3 linked regions of the Sus scrofa genome follow. The protein of the gene in region 2 interacts with the protein of the main gene of each other region in a biochemical or structural test. Links are inferred from orthologs where the notes say so. Each region holds a gene or a part of one and is shown on either strand. Other genes may lie near its edges.

Region 1 (8,322 bases), on a different chromosome or scaffold from region 2:
AAGTGCTAATATGAGAAACTAAAGTTCTGTGGTTTTTAAATTAATTGCTGAAGTACAAAAGAATAAATATGTTAAGAGGGTAAATAACTTACAAATTGGAAGCAGCTCCTGACACTTGGCTCAATGTTGCTTCCCCCAAAGGATGCAACTTCTCCCAGCTGTCTTGGGATTTGGATAGAATCATGCAGAAGGAGGCCCAGTCTGCGCTGGTCACAAAATCCTGTTGAACTGGCCACTTGCTTGAACAGGTCTACAAAAGGAAGAAGAGAATTTCAACAATCAAAAATCAGTACCCAGCAGATACTAGCAAAACCTAAGGACCAACTCAATTCCGGTACCAATTCTCAAGAGCAGCCAAGATTTCCCCAGAAGGGTTACTTCCACTGTATGCTAATCTGGACATTTATTATTTTTATGGGTTGAGTTAATCATCACTGTGTATAAATGAAACATGACAACTTTTAAATAAACTACAGCCCTGCAAGAAATGAGAGTTTACATACAGTTCTGACATGTGAATTTTTCCTAAGCCAGAACATAATCCTTTGGAAAATATTTTATATATAGGACATGACCACTATTATAAAATAAATGTTTTAGCATTAAGAATCTTATAACTGGCCCAAAGCACTATCCTCTTTGGACACCAGATTCCAAAATATATCCAAATCAGGACCTCTTTATGAAGTCATACAATCACTGAATTTCTAGTATGTGTTTCCAAAGGATGCTGAACATATTTGTGATTAGCATCACTGTACACTGTTACTGATTCAATATGTGTCTTTTTGGCTGGTGAAAGATACCCCTTGAGGGCAGGGACCACATCTTGGTCCACTGTGTGCCAGAAATAGAAGAGCAGTTCCTGGAGGCTGGTGGGTGCCCAATACACAGGGATTCAAGGAATGAAAAAACATACCAAACACTTACAATACATGTTTTGTTCTCAAAAATAGAATTATTTTAATCCTACCTCATATTCAAATAAAAGTTGTCCCAAAAGTAAATGGATGAGAGCTTTTCTTACTCATAAGCACTAAGAAATTAAAACTCTAAGAAACCTGAAGTTTTAACAGGATATTTATGATGGCAGTACCAACACTGAGGCTTCACAGAGAGCCCTTCCCCATCTCTCCAGCATACACACAAAATTTCAAAATTATGAATTACCTTCAAATGTCCCAGTTTGAAGTTAACATTTTTGTTTCACCAACCTCAAACATATTCCCTCCTAGTAGTTATTTGAAACATGGGCTGGAAGCTCCATTGATGAATTGAGTGGGAATGACGATATACTGGTACTACACCACTGGCCAGGTTAGAGTAAAAGCTAACCTATAACAAGTCACTACCGTATTGAAAGAAGAAGATCCCACAGAAGTATTCTATTTCATCCAAAATACATTTTGTTTTGGCTGTGCCTGTAGCATGTGTAAGTTCCCCAGCCAGGGATCAAATGCATGCCGAAGCAGTGACCCGAGCCACTGCCATAACAACACTGGATCCTTAACCTGCTGGGAACTCCCCAATACATTTTTAAATGGCTAACAAAAGCTGTTCCGTTATTTTTTTCTTGGGTTCTCAGGATGGGGAAACTCAAGTGGAAACTACATAAAAGTGAGCGTTAAAAGAGCTTGTATATTTGTGGCTTACTCCTGGGGGGAAATGAGCAATAGGATACAGAGTGGCTTTGGAGGAATTCAATCTCTTTTATCTCCTGCCCATCCTTAAGCTCAGCACAGCTCCTTATCCCTGTGTGGCTAGGCCTTAGGGGAAAAAAGAAAAGACCAGATAGACTAGGTTTGTTTAATATTCCTACCGAAAAGATGTCTCGCAAGCATTTAATGGGGAAATACAGGTACATTCTTTTACGATGGGAATAAATCGTTGCTTAGTCATCTCAACCATCCCTCCTCCAGCATTTGCTTTTAATTTGGATTTACAAATTTTAAGCAGAAGCACCCAATGGCTAATCAAAAGGAAATTTTATAAGGTGATATTTATCCTGTAAGAAATGACGAGCTGTCTCTCAAATAATAAAATGTTAATCACATCACAGAATTGGATATGTCAGTACAACTTGCAGGAAGATGATTATAAAATAAACAATGTTTCCTGAACATGAATGCCAGATAGTGCTCTTTAAATAAGACTCAAAAGACGAGGCAAGTGCAGGGATTAAACCTTCACATTTATTTTTCTGACTTAGACAAAGGGGTTAGGAAATCAGACTTTATCCCCAAGGAACATGTGTTTTGTTTAGACATAGTCAATGCAATGTAAAATAACACTTGCACTGGAGAAGTTAATCCTCATTCTCTATTTAAATACCTACAATTTAACGTCTGACAGGGAATGGCACAAACCAAATTTTATGACAGTCTAAAAGTAGTTCTACACCTTACATGAGGAACCTGCTGCCAAATAAGAACACTATGTCATTCCCCATCTAGAACAGGGGTAATTAGCCACCATTAATAAAAGAATACAGACTTAATACACATGACTTACATCTGTACTTGTCTTCCAAGTGTGCTTTACACAGAGAAACGATGCCAGTTTTAAAAGACAGGACCCGAATCCTCCCCGTTCGTCCCCTATTATGAATAATCAAAGCAGAAAAACAATTACTGACACTTTACTAAATGATAAAAAACTTCTCAGTTAAGAAAAAAACCCTTGGATATGGGAACTCTATTGACCATTGTTTAAGATCGTTAAGAACATTTCTGAGTTCATTATCTATCTGGCTGATAACCTAGAATGCGATGGAAATTTGACCAACTCAACCAATGAACACTTAGCAAGTTTTCAATTCTTAAAAACCCCTTCTTGAATGGTAAGAGTTTCTCTACATAAAAGAAGAAAAAAATAGCCTCTATTTATCTAGGGAGAGCCACCTGGGCTAAGTTAATAAGTGGAAGATTTACTACTATGTACTAATAAGCAAATTACCTACTTTGGTTACTGAAGCCAAAAAAAAAAAAAAAATTAACTAACTGCCTAACTGCTCTGCCCTCTTCAACACTCATTTAGATTTTCATCAGATTGCCCTTTATTGAGAAGAAAATTAATCACTTCAGGCCACATGACATGTAATATAAAATGGGAATATTTATGTCTATAAGAAAAATATGATGCAGTTTATTAGAGAGCATTCAGCTAGATGATCTTAAACAGCAAATTAAAAATAACCTATTGCTACAGCAATGTTTTAATACAGATGTACTTTCATGTTACATATAAAGCATTCCAGAAGGTATTTATTAATAAGTTCATTTTATCCATGGGAAAATTAAAATGAAGTTTTTCATTTTCTAGAAAATGCCTTTTGATAGTTTTCAGCTTTGATTTTGTTGTGAAAAATACTGAACCATATTTGCTGGTTAAAAAAATAGTCTGGAGAATGGCAAAGGACAAGTCCCAATGGTGGTTATTTTTGGTGAAAAATATGTTCACCTTTCAACTGGTACAATTTACTAAATCTATTAGTAAAAAATGGAAATCGTGGGTCCTAACACATTAACAAAAGCACTATCATTGAAGATTTTATCTTTTTCCCTTTTTAAAAAGGCAAAGCAAAGTTTAACAAACTTTATGTAAAAACTCAGGTCTTCAAGGAGTTAAAATTGTCCCCTCAAAATTTTCAGGCATAGAGAGAGGAAGTTACCAGAATCCATTTACACAACATCTGGAAAGAAAATGGTGCCAAAATACATTTGAGGGAAGACCTGAATAGAAACCCTTATCAAAGCAAGTGTAAGTATAATCCGTAATTAAAATCCAACATGTTCAAGAGCTTGGTAGATAATGATCAGAATTCAATAGCCAGGTGATTTGGAATTTAGAAAGCAATGCCTTATCAAAGTAACAAAGAAAAAAAGGTATACATTTTAAGCCAGGAGATGGTAGAAATCTACAACAAAGGCAAAAGCAAAACAGTTGCTATGCAACTCCTTTCAGAAAACCTTTGCAGATTTCCAAATGTGGAAAATGTTCTTATTGACATGGGAAATCGGGCATATAATAATTTTGAGGTCTGAGAAGAATTCAGTCAAAATTAAGACCAATTCCTTCTGCTGCCTTCCTCAATTATCTTCATTAAGCTCAAGATGAAACTGGGGAGCTCGCCTAAGTGTAATCCAAAAGAAATAAGCAAGTTCTAAGAGAGAGATAAATGGAGGGCCAAATTGCAACTTCATAAACCCTTATTTAAAAAAAAAAAAAAAAAAGACAAAACTTCCTCAGTTTGAGGAGCTGAGTTTGCTACATCAAGGGCTTATTTTCTTTTCTTTTCCTTTTTGCTTATCAATGCAGCCTTCTGCAAAAACCTATGAATATCAGCAAACACTGTTCAGAGCTGGTGACAGGTGTGCCAGCATCTCCAGGAGCTCACCCCTTCCGGCTGGTGAGAGGGAGCCATCCCTGAAGAGGATGAAGTTCAAAGTACACAGGCAAGGAAGGCAGAGAACCAAGGGCTACACACTGTCTCATGCTACTACTGGAAAAATGAGTAACTTTGGGGTTTTGTCTGCTTGATGATCTGAGAACAACCTACCTTATTGTTCTTACCCTCCCCACTTCTCAACATATTTTTCAGTTCCATTAAAGGCAAAAATGATTAATCACGGGGACAACATAAGGTCAGAGGGCTTCATGAAACTTTCATTCCAAGGACCATATTTCTAGACTGGAGCCCTGTTGTGATGGTAATTACACTGTCACCATTCTGTAAACCAAGCCTCCCATGACAGAGTCTGGAAAAAGCCTGCCATACGTACGTGTCATAAACATTCAGCAGCCAGTTGAGACACATATCCACGCAGAGGGGGACGTTGACCAGATTGTTGTGCTCTTGCTCCAGGCGATCATAAACAGTGGTCAAACAATTAATGATCTGCAGGATGTCCATGGGCTGGTCATTCTGCTTGAGGTTGTGCTGGTCCAAGGCATCGCATGCAGCTGACAGGCTCAAGAGATCCACTGCAAAAGTCACACAAAATCACAAGTGATTCAAAGGGGAAAATCCTTTCTTTGCTGTTTCTCTTTTTGACAATCTTAGTAGTGTTGTCTTGTCCCTTTAGTAGACACCAAACCTGAACCATACCCTCTTTTTATTTTATCTTATTTTTATTTATTTTTGGCCATACCTGCGACATGTGGAAGTTCCTAGGCCAGGGATTGAACCTGTGTCACAGCAGCAACCCGAGTCACTGCAGTGACAACACTGGATCCTTAACCCACTGTGCTACAATGAACTCCCTGCACCCTCTCTTATTAAAGCATTTTGTTTGCATCCCTCAGCTTTAAGTTTGATGGGTTTGATGGGTATTGAAGCTCTGAGGTTTTTCTTAAGTCTCACTGGCATTGGATGAAGATGTAGGTAAAGAGACAGCTCCCACTCCTGAAGTATTAGGAAATACCTGAGAGTTCAGGGGGCCCGATAGTGCTCTATGGGAACAAAGTCATTTTCACCCAAATCAGGGAAAAAAAATGTTTTACTAGAGATTTTCGAAGTCCCTGAGAATACTTTCTTGTATTAGTATCACAGAAGGTCAGTTTGATTAATCTGTATGGTTATGGTTGTATAAACTCTATTTCCAGATATGCATTTATAATCATTAAGCGTTTTTCTCCTTGAAATATCAGTCACCTCCTAATCTCTGCTATGTTCATACTAGGTGAAAAAAATAATCACCCTCATTACAATTTTCTATAGGCAAACTAAAATAACTGCATCACCTATGCTGTTTTCAGACACCAGGCTCACTTATTTCTCCTTTCACCTTCAAATTATATTCTACAATGTACTTTTCAAGTCCTCTAAGAACTTTCTAAGTGGGTGGGGAGGTTCCTTTGATCTGAGGTGGTATTTAATCATATGCTGAAAGACAAACATTTATCTAAAGTGAAACCTCAACCTCATCCAACATCAGCAAATCGTAAGCTTAACTCTCAAACTGTCATGGAAAGATGCTTTTCTCTAAAGCCAATTTATTAGCCAAATTGGAAATGCAACAACATTGCTTTTATAACACCTTATACATCTTAAGCTCTAGTCTGAATTCCCAGTCCTTGGAGAAGAAGAATCAATGGTAATTAAGGAAATCTCTCAGGCATCTCGGGGCAGGAGGCAACACAATTATAAATGTAACTGCAGATAGGAACGACCATAACAGTCAGTATATCCCAGTCAGTAAACAGCTTCTGGCTAGTTCTAATTAAATGCTAACCCCAAAATAGTGGTTAATACCTTTGTAGGTTAATACCTATGTAGTGCACGTTTTTCTCTTTTAAAAAAAGGAAAATAGTAAGCTTTGAAGTTTCTCTGAAAGCATGAAGGAGACCCGGTGGTGGAAGTAGGTTTGTGGTTTTTTGTTTTTTGTTTTTTTTTTTTTTTTTTTTTTTTTGTCTTTCATCCCAGTGAGTAAAGCTCTCTGCTTCCATGTACCAGTTTCCCTAAAATACCCTGGCTGAGCACTCATCCTATTAAAGCCAAGCCCCCACTCCTTTGGCTTAAAAATACTTTCAAGATACAAAAATGATCTCTTTACTTTCTGTCTAAAGTGGCAGAAAGGAACATAACTTGATTTGAGAGGGAAGTAGGTGGGAAAGAGAATAAAGACTTTTTTTAAAATAACACCACGAGCAGGCAGGAGGACAGGAGGAGGGGAAGGCCTACCAGGGACTGTATGAGAGACCAGAGAGAGGTACAGAAACTTCCATCCTCTCTGCTGGGTGACCTCCTCCGAGGACACATTTTCAGGTGTCAGCAGTGAGAACATTCAGACACGCAGCACACCATTTCCACCAGCGGAAGAGAGAAGTGGTTTTCCATCAAGTACCAATGTTTGCAACATGTTTCTTTATACAATATATGAAGCCAAGGGTGGCCGGAAGTTTTTCTAGTATTTTCTTTTTTGTTACTCTGCCTTAGTCATTACAAATATTTTGCTTTACACCCAAGGATATAAGAAGTAACAAGTGAGAATGTTTAGACTCACTTTCATGTTAAGAATCTAATTTCCCTGTGTGATGGAAACAAATCACCAGCAGCAAAATGGCATGCATTTCTTTTTATTGGGCCTACTCTTTTCTCTGTACAGGTGAACAAGTAACACTCAGAAGAGGAAACTGGGAGCATAAATAGTTCCAGAGGGGCGCAAAGCAATTGCTCTGAAATAACAGGAGCAGGAGATGACACAGTTAGGAGAGAAATACCATACGGTGTGTTCTGCTAAAACCAGACATGGTTAAACACAACGATCCATCACAGAAGACTGGAGAACACAGTTTCCCAAAACAAACATATCAAACAGAATACCACTTTCATGGAACAATTTTTAAAAGACTCCTATTTAGGTGTGTATAGCCAATACCACAGACTTGAAAAGAGGTGAGAAAATCAGTTGGGACAATTTAATTGCCACACAAACATACACTTAACTGTTCAAAATGTGCATCTTAGAGAATACATTGAGTTTTTTTATGATACATTAGACATAATGATTAGCTGTTTCTAGAAACTTTAACAAGCAACTATCAGACGCAGTTTTGTAAAACTATCCCTTTAGTTCAAGCTAGGAATTTCCATTTAGGGGGAAAATATATTTCCTTTAGTGTATTCACTGAGGGAATTTTAAAGCTATATAAAAACCCAAATATGCGGAGTTGCCGTCGTGGTGCAGCGGAAACGAATCCAACTAGGAACCATGAGGTTGCGAGTTCGATCCCTGGACTTGCTCAGTGGGTTAAAGATCCGGTGTTGTCATGAGCTGCGGTGTAGGTCGAAGATGTGGCTCAGATTTGGTGTTGCTGTGGCTGTGGCGTAGGCCAGCAGCAACAGCTCTGATTAGACCTCTAGCCTGGGAACCTCCATATGCCACAAGTGCAGCCCTAAAAGGACAAAAGACAAAAAAATCAAAAACAAGTATATTCTAATATACCCTGTCTTTCAAAAGTTATTTTGACAGTAGAGGATGCTATATGTTATTAACTTTATTTTTTTGCGTTTGTGGGCCACACCCACAGCATATGGAAGTTTCCAGGCTAGGGGTTGAATCAGAGCTGTGGCTGCTGGCCTACACCACAGCTCATGGCAATGTCGGATCCTTAACCCACTGAGTCAGTCCAGGGATCAAACCTGCATCATCATGGATGCTAGTCAGATTCATTTCTGCTGTGCTACAATGGAAACTCCAAAGCTACAGGTTGATGCCATTGAAGAATATGGACTATTCGGTGGTGGCCCTCATGTATCAGGGCTGTGGGCTGAGAGTGGGTGGGGGGCCAGCTCTTCAAGATCCTCATTGTTAAGCAAGA
Region 2 (3,600 bases):
ATCAGGACAACTGAAGTGTGGAGAGAAGCCCCTTGGACAAGGTTACCCAGCTGGTTAGTGGCAAAACAAATATCTAAATCTGGGTCTCCTGGCTCCAGAACCAACACTCAACTCCACGGTCAGGCCCTCAGATACCACACTACTGGTTTATCCTCAAAGATAAGGAATTAGTGGCCCAGAGAAGGGAGGTCATAATTCCAAGGTCACACAACAAATTGGTGGCAGAAGTAGCATTGGAATGCCTCTCCTGACGCCCCACAAAGACCCAACAGTTTGCTCTTTGCACTGCAAAGAGCCTGAGGCCTAGAAAAGGAAGAGATTTCTATTTATATCTGCCCTCTTCACCTGAAACTACCCTTTCAAAGGGTCACCTCAAACTTCAGTTCAGTTTGGATCCATAATCATTCCTGGATGCCTTGGGCTGGGCTGGTCCCTAGAGGAAAGGTCAACATGGCAACAGGAGCTCAGTCTCCATACATGAAGAATTGAATGGGGCTGGTATTCCCCTGACACCTCCTAAAAATACCTTTACCCTCACCTGGAACAATGAAGCTGGGGAGTATTTTATGTGACCTTAGAAAGTTCCCCTCCTCTCCAAGATTCAGTTTGTCCATTTGCAAAATGGATCTCTATATGAACTCTTAAGTTCCTTCCTCCTTTTGAGTGTACAATTTCTGGATTGACCTGTTGCCCTATCCTTTGCTAAAGTTTTGAGGGCAAAACTGGCGCTCCCTCCCTGGCTCTCCCTTTTCACCCTTTTAGATGCCTTTGGTTGGCTGCACGGAAGTTTGTCCTTCTATGGGGAAGAAGTGACTTCTCTGGACACTCTCTAGTGGCCTGAAAATTGAGGTTCAAATCCCAGCTCTGCCACTTACCAGCTATGTGATCCTGGGAAAACCATTTGACTTTTCTGAGTCTCAGTTTCTTCACCGGCTAAATGAGGATTATGCTTCCTATCTTTTAGTACTTGTAGCCAGGTTAGAGTAGATTGTGAGCCTAGAGTACTGGGCACAGCACTTGACACACAGTGGTAGCCAAGTCACCCCTCACCTAGGCCAAAGGGTCTGGAAGCACCAGGAACAGAGCCAATATCAGGGTAAGAGAAATGTGCACACCCAGGGCTAACTCTTTCCCAAGGCTAACACCCTTTCCCAAGTCAGATAACACTGCTTTGGCTGGGAGCTAGGAGCCTTAGAAGTAAGTGGTTTGGAATGGTGAACCCAGCAGCTGGAGTGTGCAGGGTTTTTTAGCACTATGGTTAGTTACTTGGGATGTCTTTCCTGGCCTCCATTTTTCCTCTCATCTAACAGCAATAATTAACCAGGCACCTACTATGTGTTGGCAGGGTGGGTACTTTGGACTCTTTTTTTTTTCTTTTTAGGGCCACACCTGAGGCATATGTAAGTTCCCAGGCTAGGCTAGGGATCCAATCCCAGCTGCAGCTGCAGTACTAGGGGCTGAGAGCCAGTCTCAATCATGTGCAAGGTGCAAATGGTCAGATCAGGAAACTCAAACCCAGCTTTTAGGACTCTTCACCTAGGTACACAGCCTCAGGTTTCTAGGTCCTTTTTTTCTCTCTATCTGGGAGCTCAGTCCAGCTGGTGCCTCCATGTAGTTTGCAATCCTCCTCACCGGCCATGCTTCCTACTCCAGGCCTTACTAGCCCTCCCTCCCACTTTGGTTGTATCTTGAAGACTCCCCCATCCATGGCCTAGCAGCCCCCCAGGCCTCAAACCCCTTTCTCCATCCTTTGCTCTCCTGGGGCTCCTCTTATCCCTGATGGCCGTGCAACCCCTGAGAGGCAACCAGTCTTAGATCTCTTCGCCTCCGCACGGAACTCCCCACCCACGTGTCCTCGGTGGGCCCCTCAACGCCCTCCACATATCTGCCTTCTAACTAAGACTTCCGATTCTCAAAACCCTCTCCGACCTTGATGCTCCTTGTTTCCTGGGTTCCCTCTGTCCTCTCGGACGCCCTTACCCCCAAGACCGAAGTCCTCCAACTCCACGTCCTCGGTACGCCGCCAGCCCCTGCGACCCCGGCGCCCTCATCTGTCCCACAGACACCACAACCAGCGCCCTCGGTGCCCCGGCGCCCACCTTTGATGCTGATACCCAGCCCGCCGGCATCGGCCTTGTGCACCGTCACGAAGCGCGTCTGGGGCAGTTGCGCCTCAGGCAGCTGCGGGGACGCGGCGCCTGGTTCGGTGGCACCGTTGAGCTGCGCGGGCACCGGCTCCCGCTGGGCGACGGGTTCCGGGCCGGGTTCGCCGTCGGCGGGGCTCACGGTCAGCGTGTCCTCAGCTAGACTGAGCAGCACCCGCTGCCACCGCTCTCCGCCGGCCCCCGAGCCCGCTCCGGCGCGCAGTTCCAGCAGCCCTGTGCGCGGGGCGCGCCTGCCTGACGCCATCTTCGCCTCCGAGCCCCCAGGCCGCCGCGTTCGCCCTGTCCCGCAGTGCCCGGCAGGCTCTGACCCAGCGCCCAGGGCAGAGGGCAGCGGGGGCCCCACTGGGCCTGCCGCCACCCTCCACCTGGGGGTGGAGCCTAGGGGCGGGGCTATGTGTGGGTGTGGCTAACGGCGGGGGCGTGGCCACAGACAAGCTTCAGGAGAGACAGGGAGGGCGGGGTCCAGGAGCCGAAGGATGTAGTGTGGGACTTCATGGGGGTGGGGTCATAAGGGCGTCTGGGCGGGACCACGAGTTACAGCGAGAAGCTTCTGAAACGGGGGCGGTGGGGCAATTAGGGGCGTGGCTTCATCCTGTGGAAGAGACTTCGCTGGGCGTGGCAGTCCGGGGCCAGGACCGTCGCTCACCTACGTGACAGCACAGGAAAAAGAACCATGGACACTGCTGCGAGACTTTGGTTGTTGAGGTGGGACTGCATATGGCGGAGAGCCGGACTCCAGAGACAGGGCTTGAGTTTAAGTAGTAGACACCAAGCCGCGAGGGACTTCGCAGGCTGGCAGCTAAAGAAGGTTTGAGGGAGCCTGTTTCCCAGGGTGGGGCCAGAGCTAATATCTGTGGGCGTGGCTTAGTGTGGGGCGTGGTGACTAACGCTAACAGGCCCCTCCCACTGGGATGAGCACGTTGCAGGCTGTTTAGGGTTTGGGGAAAGAGTGGGTACTGCCCTCACTTGGAAATTGGAAAGGTGTTTGAGATTAAGCCCTTGTTCTTGGAGTTCACGTCGTGGCTCAGTGGTTTCCGAATCCGACTAGGAACCATGAGGTTGTGGGTTCCATCCCTGGCCTCGCTCAGTGGGTGAGCTGTGGTGTAGGTCGCAGACATGGCTTGGATCTGGCGTTGCTGTGGCTGCGGTGTAGGCCGGCAGCTACAGCTCCGATTTGACCCCTAGCCTGGGAACCTCCATATGCCGCGGGTGCGGCCCTAAAAAGACCAAAAAAAAAAAAAAAAAAAAGACAAAATAAAACTAAAGATTAAGCCGTTGTTCTGTTCACAGTCAAATACGGAGAAGCCTTAAGTCCCACACTGAGAGACCTGGAGGGAGAAGAACCCCTGTGAGGAAAGAGGGCTGGAAGGTGGGGCTCTCTGGGTCTGGGTCTCTGGAGACCTGGCTTACAATACTGCTCAGACACTGTGTTAGC
Region 3 (8,422 bases), on a different chromosome or scaffold from region 2:
CAGGCTCCCTGGCAGGTACTCAACTGGTTCTACTTGAAGAGCTCTGGGCAGGAGGAGCTCACTCTTTCATAAAACATCCGACAGATGCTCCCCGTCTTTCTCTACCTCCAGTTCTGGGAAGCTTCTAGAAGGGGCGATCATCTTCCATCTGAACCCCAACTCCAGCCTGTCTCTGACTGGGACTGCCTGAAACTGGCTTTCAAATGAGCCTGAAAGGGAGCGCTTCAAATAGACCAAATGAGGGGTGGAATGAACGGCCAGGGATGGTGGAGACGGGGCAGCTGGGGGGCAGGAAGGGAGAAGGGAGGGAGCCAAAGGGCGCACTGGGCCCTCAAAACTCCGGGTCTTGGCCGGGCTGGCCGCATCCTCCGCAGGGGGTGTGTATCTGCCTGTGTCTCTGCCTACTTCCAGGCAGGGCTGGGATCCCGGAGGCCTGGGTTTAGGACCCAGCTCTGCTTCCTCCACCCTCAGATCATCACTGTGACCTTAGCGGTGGGGGTGGAGGATCCACTTCCCTTTCTGGGTCTCAGTTTCCACGTCTGTAAACTCTGGGCCTCAGACCAGCAGTTTAGCGACAAATCTGGTTTGAATCGACACCCCGTCCTGCCAGCGGCTGGGATGGCTGGCCCCTCACCTCCAGCCCAGCATGCTGGGACCCATGGGGCTCCCGAGTGTCTGGTTTCAGGCCAGAGACTCTGTCTCTTCCCCCTGAACCCCTCTTTTGCGTCCAGTACCTCTCTCCCGTTTCTTGCTTTTGAGGGTTCTATCATCCCCATTTTACAGGTGAGGAGATGGAGGTAGAAACAGGGAAAGTCACTTGTTCAAGGCCACAGAGAGCTATTCGCAATTCAGGACTCCTTCTCTGTGCCCAGGAGAGCAGCAGGACTCAAGGGCATCTTTTCTCAGGAGAGTCACCGAGATCTTGAATGGCCAACCGTTCTGGATACAGCTGTAGACTCTGCACAGGGTGGGGGCTGGGGGGGCTGCCCAAGGTCACAGAGCCAAGCCACCGCAGACTGGGGTCCTGAACTCAGGCTCCCCGCCTCCCGGGCCTCACCTCGCCAAGGGGACAGAAACACAGTCTGACCTCCTGCCCTGCCCGGAGATCTCCAAGATTAGAGCTCTCAACGGCCTCTCGGCCCTGCCTGGCTGCTCCCAGGAGCCCCTGATACCCGGGACGGAGGGAGAAGAGTGAGCAGGAAGACAGGAAAGAAAGTTGAGGGTTGGCCGCTTGCCCCCAGCCCTCTGTCCCTCCCTCTCCTTCTCTCCTCGTGCAGGGGGAGCGGCGGTGATGTAATGCGCTCGGCTTTGGTCCCGGTGCCAATCTCAGAAGAGAGACGACAGATTGCGTGAGCCAAATTTGGCATCCTAGGGGGAGAGGCATGAAAAGTGGAGATGTGGAGGAGAGGAGCGAGGAGCCTGGGGAGGTGCAGGAGAAGGCCCCCTGCCCAGCAGACCCCAAGACGCCTCCCCGATTCGACTCCGGGCCCCACCTCCTCCCTGGCCCACCTGGCCTCCGGGCCTCCCCTCCTCACTCTGAGAGGCCAGCCTGGCTGGTCCCCGGACCCTCCAGGCCCAGGGCTGCCAGGGCTGCCCCCCCCCAGCACACCGCTCCAGCTCCATTTCCCACCGCCGCGAGTCTCCTGGTTACCATGTTGCTGGTTGTCATGTCGCTTCCATGTCCTCGTGACTCAGTGGTCCCCGCAGAGGGCCCCCCTCCTCCTCACACCCCCCTCGGCACACGCCCCCGCCTCCCCCAGATCCACATTAAGAACCAGCCCGCCCTGTAAGCCTACACTGTTCCTCCTCCCCTTCCCTCTTCCATCCTAAGCTAAGAAATCCTTTCACCGTATCTCCTAGGGCTCCTTCATTCTCTGCTCTGCAAATGTCAGGTAAGAACCTACTATGCTCCAGACTTGTGTCAGCTGCTTCCAGAGACCTGACCTAGTCTGCGAATCACTCAGCAACCCAAAGAAGTCAGTGCCGTCATCCCCACTTCCCAGGTGAAGAAACCGAGGCCCAGAGAGGTCCGGCCAGCTGCCCAAGGTCACCCAGGAGAAATTCAAGGCCAGCCCTGTCTAGTCCCAGTCACTCCAATACTTGCAGGAGAGAGGAGCTTCCCTTTCCAGGGTACACCCAAAGGTTCCTGAGGAAGAGGTCCCCAGCCCCAGGTCCCCCTCCTCGGATGCCGGACACTGCCCTTCTTGGTCAGTCCTCTAGTTCAGGCCACGTTCCCCCTCCCCGTTAGCTATGCCTCTTCCCAGAGGTAAAATGAGTCTTTACTTCCATTTGCTCTGCACTTTCCCAGCCTGTAGACAGCCCTCGGCTCCCTCGAGCCCAGCCCCCCCTCCCTTGGAGGTCAGTGGGACAGGGGACTGACTGCTGTCCTCATTCCACAGATGTGGAAGTTGAGGGCCAGGGAGGAGAGCGGCTTGCCCGTGGTGCTGGCCCCTCTGCCAGCTGAGCAGACTTCTAGGAGCCCAAATGGGGGCTACCCAAGGCCCACTGCCCAGTGGGGAAAACCCCAGGAAGAGCCCATCCCCCAGGAGAGAACCAAGTAGAATGTTCTAGGTTCAGCCCTCCAGACTCCGATTTGGCTATAGGTCAGCTCAACAGCCAACCGCCTTTGCTCCTGCCACACCGCACGGCAGCCCTGAGCCCAGTGCCCCCTTCCACATGTTGTCCCCTCATCCCAGGCCACGCCAGGACCACAGTTTGGCTCTCAGGCCCCCAAAGTCCTGCCAACAGCTCTCAAAAGTCCCAAAGCCATGGAGGTCACAAGACTGGATGTGGGGGAGAAACAGAATAGACATTCTACACACACACACACACACACACGCACACGCACACGCACACACACACAGGTCTGGCTCCTCTCTGGACCTTGCATGTGTGGCCCTTAGGCCTCCCTCCCTCAGCTCTCTGTTCCCTCAACCTGCTTCTTGGCATCCTCCTGCTCCGGAGGCCCCCGCCTGCTAACTATGCCAGGCAGCCCTCCACCTGTCTCTCGCCCACCCCCACCACCCCCCTGCACCCTCTCCCCATCTTAGAGCCTGGGCTCTGGAAACACAAGTGCCATGTAGATGCTGGTCAGGGGACACTGGGCACGGTTGCAGGGAAGTTTCCCTACTCCATCCAGACCTCTCTTTCCTGGTGCTCTCCGTCTAGGGAGGGAAGGCACTCTGGCCTCCCTCTGTGGCCTGTCGCCACCGCTGGGAAGCCTGAACTGCTTCATCCATCCCTGTCCACCCTCTCTAGGGTCTCAGGGCCCAAAGCAGGTGCTCAAAACGAGAGAAGAGGGATTTTGTTCTGTCAGGGCCATTTTGCAAACAGGCTGCAGTTGGGGAGGTGGATAGGAGACCCCCCCCCCCCTTTGCCACAAGTCATCTGCTTTGAAACTCCTCCAACCCAGTGTGACAACTGGGGGTGGGTGGAGGCAGGGAAAGGTCACGGCCGGGGCAAGAGGTCCAGGCCCTTTGCACTCACCTCTACCCCCCCTCCTGGCAGAAACCCAGACCTTGACGCTCCTGAGACGACGACGGACAGAGGACAGAGCTCCTCGGCTCCGGGGAAGTCGCCTGATCGCGCTGAACGCGCGCCCGGCGGCCGAAGCCCGGGTCAGGGGATAAGGTGCCGAGCGGGCGGGGCCCGAGCCGCCAGGCCCCGGGACACACACACATACACACGCACGCGGCGGGACAGACGGACGGACAGCGCCAGCGGCGAGCGCCGGCCGGGCTTACCGCGGGGCGCAGGGTCCGACGAGTCTCCGGGAGGCGGCGAGAGGCCGCTACATCCCACGGCGCAGTCGGGCGGGCAGCGTCCCGGGCCGGGAGCGGGGAGTCCCGGCGCCCCTTCCCCGCGAACTCGGCGGCCGGCCCCGCCCCCCTCCCCCGCTGCCTGTGGGTCTGTCCGTCGGTCCCCCGGTGTCCCGGCCTCCGGGCCGTCCCGCGCCGCTCCCCGCCGGCCGCCCAACTTTCAGCGCTGCCCCGCGCCGCGCCCTCGGCGCCGCCTCAGCTTCAGCATCGTCGGGCCCCGGGCCGGGGCTCAGAGCGCGGGGGTCCGGGGACCCATGGCGCTGGAGCCCCCCGCCCCCGCCGCCTTCTCTCCGCCGCCCCCACGGTTCTCTCGCTGTCCCTCGGCGCTGTCCCCCGCCCTGCGCTCCGCTCCCTGGCCCGCTGCGCTCGCCTCCGGCCCCGAGACCCCCGAAGCCGGCCGGCCCGGGCTCTGCCGCCCCCGCCCCCGCCGGCCCCCTCGGCTCTCGGTCTCTCGCAGTCTCTCCTGCCCGCCTGGGTCTCTCCGACTCTCCCCGCGGGCCCCTGTCTTCGTCTCCGTCGCCCTCCCGGTCTGTCCGCTGCCTTCCTCTGCCTCTGCCCTCTCTCCCCTGAGCGTCTCTGTCTCGCTCCGGGTCCCTGCCTCTGCCTCTCTCTCTCTCTGCCTCCCACTCTCGGTGCGGCCCCCGCGGTCTCGGACCCAGGCCCCCGCCTCTGCCGCGTCCCCGGCTCGCCCGGGAGCCCGAGCTCCCGCCGCCCGCGGCGCGCCGAGAACTCCCAACTCGCGGCACGCCGCCCCGCTTTGCGAGACTTTCGCCCCTCCTCACACGTGACCCGCGCCCCGCTGCGGAGGCCGCGCCCCCCCACCCCAGCCCCGGAGCCCCGGGCGGCCCGGGGGACCCGGCCCCGGCCCGTCCCCTCAGCCTAGCCCGGCATCACACCCCCTCCCACCCGCGGGCAGCGCCGGGCCGGGCAGGGGCTGGGGGCCGCGGGGGCCGCTCCTGTCCCAGATCCTGCCCGGGTTTTCCTCCTCCCTCCAGGAGCACTCCGCCCAGAACCCGCTCCGAGAATCCGCTCCCAGGTTTTCTCGCCCCCCAGGGGCAGGTGGAGAGGGTTCCTCCGCGCCGGGAAGGGAGTGGGTGGGATAGGGTCGGTACCCGGTTCCTCGGCTGCGGGCCACTCCCCTCGGCGGTTCCCTTCCCCTCCTGCAGGACTGGCCATTAAGGACCCTACGCACCCCGCCCCCGGGAGCCGGAGGTGTAACCCTCCTGGAGGGACCCTCACCATCCGCTGGGCAGCACCGCCCCGTTTGACAGACTGGGAAACTGGGTATCAGAAAGGGTCATAAGTTTGCCCAAGGTCACCCAGAGGTGGCAGAGCCGGGCCAAACCACAGTTTTTCCTTCTCTGCGTCCCCATCACCCCAAAATGTCTTTATAGGGAGGATCTCGCCCGTTTCCTTCTCATCTTGGGGGCGCACCGGTCTGGACCCCACACCAGTCTGGACTGTGGGGAGAAAGCCCCAGCTCCTCACAGCCCCTGGCGAGCCAGCCACTCCCGTGGCCATTCCTGCCACCTCACTCTGAGGATGCAGGAGGTTAGAGGATGTAGGGTGCGAGGATGAACGAATACCTGCAGTTAGATAGCCAGAAGGACTTCCCTGGGAGCCTGGCCATCTCTGACTGGCCCCAGTTAAGTGAGGGAGATTGGGGCACTCCAAGCCGGACCGAGAATTTACTGAACATAAAATCTCCAGCTCATCCTTCAAGCTGACCCTCTGAAGTTGCCGCAGGCACAGGAACCACCACACTTGAACCATCATGACTGTTCCCAATCCCCACAGTCCCTCCCCTCCTAAAAGGATTGCGTCCCAACTCCTCAGTGTGATGTACAGTCAGGTCCCACCTTATCTCACACCCCATATACCCACACATACACCACGATGCCTACAGATTCCCGAACACACCAGATGCTTCCACACCTCTCTGCCTTTGCACATGCTATTCTTCCTGCCTTAAATGCCCTTCCTGCTTCTCTGCTCTAAGAATTCCTGCTGTTTCCCAAGTCCAGCCTCCACGCCACCTCCCCTAGGAAGGCCTCCTGCTGCCCTTAGCAGAAGTCATCCATCACCTCCTCATTCATTCATCCAGCACCGGCCACAAGTTTAGTTCTTTTTTTTTTTTTTTTTTTTTTTTTTTGTCTTTTTGCTATTTCTTTGGGCCGCTCCCACGGCATATGGGGGTTCCCAGGCTAGGGGTCTAATCGGAGCTGTAGCCACAGCAACAGCCAGAGCCACAGCAACGCAGGATCCGAGCTGCATCTGCAACCTACACCACAGCTCACGGCAACGCCGGATCAATAACCCACTGAGCAAGGGCAGGGACCGAACCCGCAACCTCATGGTTCCTAGTCGGATTCGTTAACCACTGCGCCACGACGGGAACTCCACAAGTTTAGTTCTTGTTAGGTGGGCTTGGGAGTCAGGCCAACCTCAGCTACAGCACTTAGGAGCTGCATGACCTTGAGCAGATATTTTATTGAACCTGTTTATAATATTAAGACCCTGGAGTTCCCTTGTGGTGCAACGCGTTAAAGATCCAGCGTTGTCGCTGCAGCAGCTCAGGTCACTACTGTGGCATGGGTTCAGTCCCTGGCCTGGCAACTTCCACATGCCACAGGCATGGTAAAATAAATAAAATAAAATAAAACCAGGACCCTCACAGTCCCTCCCCTCACAGGAGGTCGATGCACAAGAAATGCACAGTTCATAGCAGGTGCTCAGTAAACGTGACTATCCCTTCTCAGTCCTCCCCTCGACACTGCAGAGCTTCAAGGCGCATGCCCCATTCCCTGCCCAGCTTCCTCATTACCCTGCTGTGCCCTCGTGGGCGGGCAACCAGGACTGATGTTCCCTGGGAGGAGTCTTTGGTGTGTGAATGGCCGGGAGAACTTAACAGTCTGAAGGCGGGGTCAGCTGTGGTGTATGCCTCTTGCTTATCACACCTTTCCCTGAATTGGAAGTGGGCGGATGCAGGTGAGGCAAATGTCCTGTGGTCTCTTCCCCTGGCCAGAGACCTGGCCCGGTGGCTGCCCTGAGGGTGTGGGGGGTGCAGAGGAAGGAGAAAGGGCAGGAAGAAGGGAGAGATGGATACAGGGGTGTCTTTAGACCCAGAGCATCTGTTTCTGTGGGATCAAACCCAATGCCTGGTCACTGGGTACCAGTTTCAGGAAAGAGCGGCTGGGGGGGGGCGGGCTCAGGGGCAGTGACTTGGGGGGGCAGCTGTGACACCACAGGGGTTGAGAGGAAACATCGAAACATCCAATAATGATCACCTTGCTGGGCCTGGCGGCCTCTGTGGCTCATCTCCTATAAGGAGAGTCCTGTGGCGGCTGAGAGCAGACTGGGAGAAAGGGAGGAGAGGCAGAAAGGGCAGCTCCAGTCAGGGAGAACTTCACAGACCACTGGAAAAAAAAGTCACCCTCCAATCCTGTGTGACTCTGGACAGCTCACCTCTCCTCTCTGGGCCTCAGTTTCCTCATATGTAAAGTGGGGAGGATCACGTCCACTTTAAGGGGCTGTTCCAAGGATGATGAAAGACTAATGGAAGGATCTGCCATGTTCCAGTAGCTCCTCGCTGTGTGCGGGGCGGGGTGGGGAGGGGGTGGGAAGGCCTGTGAGACAGGTATGCAAAGGTTGCAGGGGTGGGAGTGGCAGGTTTGGGTGTCAGAACTGGGTGACCCTGGGCAAGCTCCTTGTCCTTGCTGGACCTCACAGGCCTCATCTGTCATGGGATAATCTGGCCTGGGTCCCCAAAGGGCAAATAGACTTTGTCATCATCTAACACAGAAGCACCCCCCGGATGGAGGGAGAAGAGACATCGCTGGAGTGCCTGGCGTCACAGCGGCCAGCACTACTCAGGCCTTCACGGGCAGAGTCTCGTTTCGCCCTTACAGGAGCCCTGTGACACAGGCCTTTGTTACCAGCAGGGAAGCTGAGGCATGTGGCATGGCCCGGGGGGCCTGGAAGAACTCTTTGCAAGGGTGAGATCTGCTCTGAAGTTTGATGGGAACCATAGTGAAAACTGGCGTCCATCTGTAGGTTTTGCTAAAGCCTCCGGCCCGTTCTCCATTCCTCCTGTTTGCCCCTCACAACAACTCACTGAGGCAGAGACCCTGACTGTCTATCCCTAGTTTCCAGGTGAGGAACCTGAACTGAGACAGGGATAAGGAAGAGCCTTGCCTGGGGTCACTGAGGGCATAAGCAAGGATCTGAGCCACGATTTGAACCCGCTCCTAGTTTCTGGGGAAAGGTCATCCCAGGCCAGCAGGGCGCTCACTCACTGGCTCACTCTGGGAGCCCAGTCAGGCCTCCCTGGTCCTGAAGGGGCCCCGTGAGCTGGTGTAAAGGGCTAGGAGGCCTGGAGGGGAGAGGGATGGGTGGGACAGATGGGTGGGACAGCTGAGAAGTGGGGGGAAGTCTACCTTAAGATGCCAGAGTCACAGAGTCCAGAGGTATTTGGCCTAGTGAGCTCCTTAAAGTCAGACAAGCCCATTTTACAGATGGGGCACACTGAGGCAGCCCAGCTGCTTAGATGAGAAATCAGACCAGGACACAGCTGGCCTGCCTCAGAGCTCTGAGGTCCCACCAGC

What was found.
Region 1: the proteins of SNTA1 (region 2) and DMD form a complex in vitro, tested with the Homo sapiens proteins (2 studies listed by BioGRID, with this or other methods). The link is inferred for Sus scrofa from reciprocal best matches to the Homo sapiens genes SNTA1 and DMD.
Region 3: the proteins of SNTA1 (region 2) and KCNJ4 interact in a test that uses a peptide from one of them, tested with the Homo sapiens proteins (2 studies listed by BioGRID and IntAct). The link is inferred for Sus scrofa from reciprocal best matches to the Homo sapiens genes SNTA1 and KCNJ4.

Annotation. Positions count from the first base shown.
Region 1 is NC_010461.5:27,121,991-27,130,312, forward strand, and holds part of DMD (dystrophin), read right to left. Parts: intron 4,984-8,322; coding exon 4,782-4,983; intron 2,598-4,781; coding exon 2,512-2,597; intron 251-2,511; coding exon 93-250; intron 1-92. UniProt on the Homo sapiens protein: Anchors the extracellular matrix to the cytoskeleton via F-actin. Ligand for dystroglycan.
Region 2 is NC_010459.5:36,943,694-36,947,293, forward strand, and holds the start of SNTA1 (alpha-1-syntrophin), read right to left. Parts: upstream 2,540-3,600; 5' UTR 2,410-2,539; coding exon 2,100-2,409; intron 1-2,099. UniProt on the Homo sapiens protein: Adapter protein that binds to and probably organizes the subcellular localization of a variety of membrane proteins. May link various receptors to the actin cytoskeleton and the extracellular matrix via the dystrophin glycoprotein complex.
Region 3 is NC_010447.5:9,522,589-9,531,010, reverse strand, and holds the start of KCNJ4 (inward rectifier potassium channel 4), read right to left. Parts: upstream 4,613-8,422; 5' UTR 3,744-4,612; intron 1-3,743. UniProt on the Homo sapiens protein: Inward rectifier potassium channels are characterized by a greater tendency to allow potassium to flow into the cell rather than out of it.